2 linked regions of the Daphnia pulex genome follow. The protein of the gene in region 2 purifies or fractionates together with the protein of the main gene of each other region. This does not show direct contact. Links are inferred from orthologs where the notes say so. Each region holds a gene or a part of one and is shown on either strand. Other genes may lie near its edges.

The links. Proteins that work in one complex are often made in the same cells at the same time.
Region 1: the proteins of 3-hydroxyacyl-CoA dehydrogenase type-2-like (region 2) and mitochondrial ribonuclease P protein 1 homolog purify together in Homo sapiens (co-immunoprecipitation; 3 studies listed by BioGRID and IntAct, counting the BioPlex papers as one, with this or other methods). This does not show direct contact. The link is inferred for Daphnia pulex from reciprocal best matches to the Homo sapiens genes HSD17B10 and TRMT10C.

What each region holds. Positions count from the first base shown.
Region 1 is NC_060023.1:12,059,891-12,063,555, forward strand, and holds mitochondrial ribonuclease P protein 1 homolog, read right to left. Parts: upstream 2,488-3,665; 5' UTR 2,396-2,487; coding exon 1,208-2,395; intron 1,142-1,207; coding exon 995-1,141; 3' UTR 980-994; downstream 1-979. UniProt on the Homo sapiens protein: Mitochondrial tRNA N(1)-methyltransferase involved in mitochondrial tRNA maturation. Component of mitochondrial ribonuclease P, a complex composed of TRMT10C/MRPP1, HSD17B10/MRPP2 and PRORP/MRPP3, which cleaves tRNA molecules in their 5'-ends.
Region 2 is NC_060018.1:6,280,520-6,284,890, reverse strand, and holds 3-hydroxyacyl-CoA dehydrogenase type-2-like, read left to right. Parts: upstream 1-1,921; 5' UTR 1,922-2,059; coding exon 2,060-2,068; intron 2,069-2,288; coding exon 2,289-2,345; intron 2,346-2,413; coding exon 2,414-2,521; intron 2,522-2,585; coding exon 2,586-2,670; intron 2,671-2,738; coding exon 2,739-3,028; intron 3,029-3,121; coding exon 3,122-3,340; 3' UTR 3,341-3,468; downstream 3,469-4,371. Other genes in the region: pre-rRNA-processing protein TSR1 homolog, read left to right, coding at 4,201-4,312. UniProt on the Homo sapiens protein: Mitochondrial dehydrogenase involved in pathways of fatty acid, branched-chain amino acid and steroid metabolism. Acts as (S)-3-hydroxyacyl-CoA dehydrogenase in mitochondrial fatty acid beta-oxidation, a major degradation pathway of fatty acids.

The sequences.
Region 1 (3,665 bases), on a different chromosome or scaffold from region 2:
TCTGATCTCTCTTTTTCCCCCTTAACTTTTTCTCTTGATTTATTACCTTGGGATTGACGGATGGGCGAAAAGCCAACGATTACCAACCCCCCCTCCCACCCCACTATTTAGTTCATTTCACGGGGCTTCCAGAAGAAGACAAGCAGAAAAGAAGAAAGAACGATCATAATATACAGGGTCACCCATTTTTTTTTTCTTATTAAAATTAAAAAAAATTACAAAATGCAAAAAAAAAAAAATTAATTAATTAATTAATAAGATGTGAAACTCTTCTTAATTTCCACCCTCCCGCTCTTTCTTGAATGTATTACATGTTTTCTCGTGCCTTTGGTGTTTTCGATACTACGTATTGACAAATACTCTGGGCAGCTCCATACTCCATACTTAGGTAAAAAGCCCTTTGAAAAGAAAAAGTGGAAAACATCAAAACACACGACTTTATTATTTATAATATTCTTACTATTCTCGAAAAAAAAAACATTTCCCCCCTTCATCTTTATCCTACAGAAAGATAACAGAAAAATAAGCTGTCGCTGTGATGTGGATTTACCATTGTAGTATTTATATATATTTCTTTTGCCTTTTGTGTGTATGTGTGTGTGTGTGTGGTGCGTCCTTGTGTGTGTGTCCGACCGTAACCCCCCATCTTCTTTGTTTTCGGTCTATTGATCGTGTTGACCGGGGAAAATAATCCAATGGTCCACCTCTTCTTTTTTCACGATTTCCCTTAATTTTTCAATTTAATTTATTGGTGTTGAATGGTCCCCATCCCCTTTTCTATTTGACTATATAAAAGTGAATGATGATGATGATGATGGAAACCGTGTTTTGACTTGTCAGAGAGTGGACTACTACACTCTCCAAGAAAAGCCATATGTCGACTCTGAGAGTTGGAGAAAATATACACAACTACCACGATCTATTCCAACTTATTCCTCACAAGCAAACGAAATTTGGAAAATATTTACTGTTTATTAATAGGATTTCATCACGACTAATCAAAAAGGTACTTGCTTATCGGCTGCTTTTCGATAGACTTTGAATTAGACCTGCTGGTTTTACGGGGGACGTTAGAAAATAATAATTCGTCCAATTCTTCTCTCACTCGTCCCCTTATCTCGGCATTTGACTTTGGGTATTTCTAGATTAGAATGGGGAATAAATTAAATTAATTCTGGCATTGACATATATTTTTAAAAAGGAATACCGTTCTTAGATGTGATTCATTTCCTGAATATGGATCCATAAGTTTACGTTTTGGAACGACCTCAAGGGCTCTATTCCAGTCTCCGTGGGTTTTAACTTCCAGTAGGATGGAAATCATGTGGTTCAACGCCAGACACTTGCCACTGCCACCACCAAAACGCAAATATCGATCCAGAGGTAACTTGGCCATTCGGATGTTATCTCGTTTAGCAAATGCTAACGAATGTGGCTTGCTGTCACTCCTGTCAACCATTGTTCCGATGATGTAGACACTGTCAAAATCAAAATGGGTCATTTCTGTTTTGCAGTGAGGTGTCAGATAGACGAGCTTTTCTCTTGGAAACAAGTCAAGATAGCTTTTGGAGCTAAGATTGATTGGAAATTCAGGGCTATACAGATGTGGCATCCATTTGAGAAAATGCTTCATCACGGGTCCATTGAAGTTGACATTGCAATACTGGAAAGGGAATGGATTTTCGTGCTCCCTGTTTGTAATAAAAGACAGTGCTAGTTGTTTGGCAGCATTCTTCAACTCCTGTTGGGTCATGTGTTGTTCATAACTGTGATCAAAGACCACAGGTAATTCAAACCTTTCAGCCCTTATCATCCTGTTATTTTCGTAGTGATCCATCTTGGTATCGTAAACTTTCAAAAAAATAGTGTTGTGGCCCAGTCCATATTTAATATGCTCTTCAGTGGGGGGATTTAATTTAATTGCTTCCTTCTCTGCTTGCCACTTTGCTTCCCTTATTTGTTGTTGTTCTATTTTTGAGTTTTTTTGGCTCAGTTTCGTCATTTCCCTTTTGAAAAGAAATGCTAAAAATTTCTTCCGTTTGCTTGTTGATTCTAGCTCCAGCAATTCCTGCCAATCATTGATTGTCAATCCAGGAGGAGCTCTTGTTCCTTCTTGCTTGGATATTTCGTATTCAAATTCAGCCATCTTGAGTCGTTTTATCAGTTCCGTATCGCCTTTGGTTAACGAACTAATAACCTCTTCTGTCAAAGTCACATATCTTCTTTTTGGCTCGCACACTGCTTCTGCTTGTTTGGCATTCGATGACTTTTCTTGGGCACAAAATTCCCGACATGGGAATCGATGACTTATGTTTGGGTTTAAAGCGAAAGGCAAAATCTGACGACTAGCTTGCTGAAAACGATAAACTGACTTGACGAAATTCGATAGAAACATTTTCTGTTCTCACTGACCGAAAATGTAAAATGTCACATGTGTTTTACTGTTTTGCTATAGCAGACAACATGTTGATAGATAATTAACGGGATACTTCGATCACTGCGCCATCTTACAAGAGAATCAAAGAACTACAAAGGGCTCTAGACCTCTGGTAGTCGGTGAATCAACTATTAAAAACTCATTGAAACTTCACAGAGTGAGTTAGCTACCTGCGCATGCGTTTAGCAAAAGCAAGGTACCCGAAGGGCTGTTAATGATTTTTTCCCACAAAAAATAGGATTTATAGGGGGGGGGGGAAGACGATCTATCTCTATCTCAATAATATCTCGGTAATTTGGCCCCTGCCGGCTGCCGCCCGCCAGGGGAAGGGCTAAAAAAAGTTCCACAAAATTGTTTTTTTAAATCTGGCAACAGGAGAAAGGAGCAGACGAATGTTGCATATTTGCATGACAATGATCCACAGGTAAAGAAAAAAACCGCGTGGTCTTGACTCTGGGTTAAAATTATTTGCAAATTAAATAAGTAGTGAATACTTAGCAAAAGGTGCATTTTGATAGGATAATTGTTGCTCGAATCTCTTGCCCTGACTTTACAGTTATCTTTCTAAATTTTTTTCTCCCTCAGTGAATTTTGGATTGCCTGTGCTACCACCCCTTGTGTGGCTAATCAAGAGTGATAAGCTGTAAGTATAAACACCACTTGACATTGAGGATGATGGAACATTTATTTCAAAGTTATATCATTCAACTTAATTTTTGTTTCAGTTGTTGCTGCTCTTTCTATTTGAACCATATTGAGCATGAGTCCTCTTCATTTACTCTTCAAGGTTTGTCACCTTATCGCTGAGCTTTTCAGGTCAAGTACTAAACCTTTCTATTTTCTCTGTAGAATAAGTTCTTGTATTTTTTTCTCTTATTCTCAGTAGACTCAGACTGTTTGCGTCGTGTGATACAGTCAGGACTTTAGTCACGAGGAAATGCATTTACCTCTATTGAAGCAGTAAAGAGGTTTACAATGACATTTCTCATCTACTTTTTTTAAAATCTAATGCCAATGCCTCTTAAAATTCAACTGGTAAGTTACTCCAGGAAGGGAATCCTCATCAGTAATCATGGTAATGGCTTTTTATAAATGCTTTCTGCTTTTAGGAAAGGGTTGGCGTTTCGAGAGAAGTGCCAGTTTGTTGCTTGACTTGCGGTTGGACGAAGATTTATGTCACGTTGCCTTGGGCTCATAGACAGCAAATGGTGCGATCAAGTGCAGAACA
Region 2 (4,371 bases):
ATTCTGCAAGCTTTGTTTGGCCTTGAATACAAAATTTCAATCACGTTTTTTTTTTTTAAATATTCATAAAACACGTACTGTACGGAAAATGTCATTCCAATGGGGAAAAACAAATACTAACCTTCGGATTGAAGCGACAAGCGATGCGTTGTTGTCGAGTTCGAGAATCAAAAGCTACTGAACAAAAGAAGCTTTGTGTAGCTCGGTTTTAAAAAGCCTCGAAATGTCAGACTGACTACCGGAGTTCACTGTTCTGTTCTGCAACTGGTTTCTGGCTACTGCACCCATTGCCACAGGCCAGGCCTCTTTCTCTCTTCCTCCCCTTTTCGTAAACAAAATAATAACACTACGCACTGCAGCCAATCAGCAAGTCGGAATTTCTCTGGGTTGATAACAGAAATGAGGATATCCCGCCAGAGATTAATTTAGTAAGTTCACCCTCCTATTCCTTATTAAGCGACTTTCGTTGTGGCTTCGTCCAAATTTAATTTCAAAGAAACAATACTTCAATCAAATTAAAAACGGCCAGAACAAAACAAATTGTCTTTTGGCAGTGGACTGTGCGACATCTCGGAGGTCTTAGTATAAATGTTTTATTTGTCTCTCTCGCAAACATTTCGTAATAACTAATAAATGGGAAATTTTCTAAGTTTCCCGTGTATATTTGGAGAGTATGGAGACCCATATTTGGTGAGTCATCACGCCGATGGCTTTTTCACTCGTTCTGTTTGGTTTCACTTTACGTGGAATTACCCATAAAAAAAATGTCCGTGACGCATGTCGGCATGCGGAAAGTATGTCGGACGTGACTGTTTGATGTGAAAAATGCACAATGATCGAATTCAACGCATTGTAGTAAAACATTTAATGAATAAAAAGAACTGGATTTATTAATTCTTGCGCATTGGTTTTACACGACGAGTAACTAACATGCAGAATTCGAAAAGATTAACAGCGTCGTAAATTTTATTCCAGAAAATATATTTTCTACGGTGTACAAAAATTTGTGATATCACGTTGAAGGTTCGCGGGGTATCGAAGGATAATTAATTCACGCATGGCATATCTGAATCAAGCATACAATAACAAGGCGGCTCGTTGGGAGATTGCCCTTTCATGCAGTGATAACCTGTTCCGCAACTCGGTGAGCACGCTTCCGGTGGGCACAAAAATTTTGCTATTCAAATTGATAAGAATACAGTTAAGAAGAAAACAATGAACAAGTAGGAACTTGCCTGCAATTGGTGTATGTCGACAAAGGGATTTTTGACTGGTAGTCTCCACAGCAATGGCGCTGGCCATTGCAGTCCATATAGAAGTCGCCAAAAGCAAAATCATGCTTGTCATCACTGAGATCTTCATTTTGATCTGTAAGGTTTTCAAATAAAGATTGATAGAGAAAAGTGTGCTGCAAAGAGCCTTTATATGCATCGCAGATGCACACTAAAGTCGGTCGTTCTCGGTCGTTGACTCCGAAATATATAAAAAAAATATGCCAAAAAAATATTGTGTCTTAGCAAATATGCAGGTATTCATCTCTTTATGTGACCGATGTGACCGTTATTCTTGGATTTAAGGTAGGCTAAAGATGTGGTTGGTGTCGGTCTTTTCCTTAGCAAGTTTTGAGACAAGATATTTTTTTTTTCTAGCCAAGGGTGAAAGGCAGGCGCAAAAACATGTCGTAAACTGCCAAAGTTTCCATGGGGAGAAAGTGAATCCCTAAGGAATATTATTTTCAAGAATTTCAAATTTACCGATGTTAACTGACAGCTGTTAATCCCAATGGAATGGGGTGGGACACTAAGCTAAGGATTATTCTACATTTATAGCTCATTTTTAACTTATACCTGCAACCTGCATCTATCCAAATCGAAGGGATGACAACAAGACCACTTTTTCGTCTTTTCAAAGGGAAATCCATTTTTGTTAAATGTCAACGTCTAACTTTCGTAAGGTCGTCTGCTGCCGTACTCGGATCCTTCTCTTGCTGTCTTGCATATCGCGAGGAACAGGCAAAAGGACTCGTGTTTAAATCGCAAAATAAAATTCGTTTGATAAAATGTTGAAAGTAAGTTAAATAACATTGCATTTGTATATGGAATGGAAAATTAAATGCTGTAAAGTAAATATTAAAACAATTTTTTTTCAAATTATGTCAAGAACCCTATATAGTTTTGAGTTTCTGATGTGTATTTATATTACATGTCCGGTTTTCGTTATATGTTTCCCTTTATCGTCACAGAAGACAAATATGGATTTGGAGTAATTGAAACACTTGATTTTAATAGGGAGCTGTTGCCTTGGTGACTGGTGGAGCTTCTGGCTTGGGCCGGGCAACTGTTGAGGTATATCAGAACTGGTTTTCTTGTGAATTTACTATCCAGCCTTGATGTATAATTGTATCATTTGATAGAGAATTGTCCGACAAGGTGGAAGGGTAGTCTTATGTGATCTACCAACTTCTAAAGGACAACAAGTAGCTGCTGGCATGTCAGAAAATGTTATATTTGCCCCAACAGATGTAAAGATAATGTTTAAGAAGTAAAACATAATGTTCAACTAATAACATGTGATGTTCCTAATAGGTTTCTTCTGAGAAAGATGTAATGAATGCTCTTTCCATGTCAAAAGAAAAATTTGGAAAACTTGATGTTGCAGTAAACTGTGCAGGTAATTTTCATTAAATTTAAAAGAATTTCTGTTTGAATAAAAGTTTAATAGCTTGTTTATTTATTAAGGAATTGGAGTTGCTTTCAAAACATACAATTTTAACAAAAATCTTCCACACAAACTAGAAGACTTCATTAAAGTTTTGATGGTAAACACCGTGGGAACTTTCAATGTTATTCGCCTTTCGGCAGGATTAATGGGCGAAAATCAGCCCAACGAAGACGGTCAAAGAGGAGTGATAGTCAATACTGCATCTGTAGCTGCTTACGATGGTCAGATGGGTCAAGCCGCCTATTCTGCAAGCAAAGGAGCAATTGTTGGAATGACTCTACCGATTGCGAGAGATCTGTCGTCCCAGGTAATTTAATAAAACTAATTAACTGGAGGTGTAGAGATAAAATGGCTCAAGTTAAAACTGGTTACAATGTTAACTAATTATTATCATTTCTAGGGTATCAGGGTTTGTACCATTGCACCAGGATTGTTTAAAACTCCTTTGCTCGAGTCTTTACCTGAAAAAGTGCAGTCATATTTGGCAAAGACCGTACCATTTCCGCAACGTCTGGGTAAGCCAGATGAGTATGCAATGATGGTTGAATCAATTATACTCAACCCAATGATGAACGGAGAAGTGGTTCGTGTTGATGGCGCTATCCGCATGCAACCGTAAAAAAATCCAATCATTTAAAAACTAAACCAGAGTAAACAGTAATAAGTTATTGTTGTAATTTGCAATGTTCAATGGCTTATTCTTTAGTAAAGAGCTTTCGTGAGATAATACAAATCTTTATATTATTATTTTGTATTGAACGAACTTTTTTCGTGAATTGCTTCCAACTTTTGGAACTTTGTTGAGACATTTTTTTTTTATATGGTCACTTCAGTTTTCTAATTTAATTTAATGTTTAATCGGGTTTGGAGATATTCTACCAGAGAGGACGATTGGAGAAACGATACTTAACTGCTTGGGAATACAACTGTATAAATTAAAAATATGCAACCTGCTGCAGCGATAAAATTGATAAAAATCCTGACTTCTAAGGAGGGACAATAGCATTTACTGGTAGAGGAAAAATGGCGCCTCTGACTGGACAAAAAGATCACAAGATAATGAAAAGGGACTAAGGAACACTTAACGTGCGCTGGGCATGGCCGCTGACCCGCTGCGGCTGCCCGTTTGGACAGCGTGTCAGCTCAGCACCGCATGCGGACTTGCGGTACACGTAGTTACAACACAATATAGTAATATTATATGTATTACAATAACATGAATATATATATATTAAGTTATTAACATATAATATTATTCGCACGCGTTAATAACTTGCGGACTAACAAGATGTAGCATGTAGTAGCATGTAGTAGGGCAACTTCAAATTGTTCGTTTACGACTTTTGCAAGATTTAGCGTCGTCTGCACTGAAATATTGTGCCGTCCGCGAACTCCACGTGTGTAAAACGTCTATAGTACCAAGTGAACGGTTACATTTTCTTTTACTATATTAAGTAATTAACAGTAGTAAATAGTGGGATGGCAGGAGGTGAACAGGCTTCACATCGACCCGGTCTTCTAAAACAGCAAAATAAATCTCATAAAAATGGGAGACATCGCAGCAAAAGTGAAATTGACAAGAACAACAAAGGTAAGCAAATATTTGTATTTTATTTTACTGGCGTCATTTTCAAACTAACTTAGTGTGGT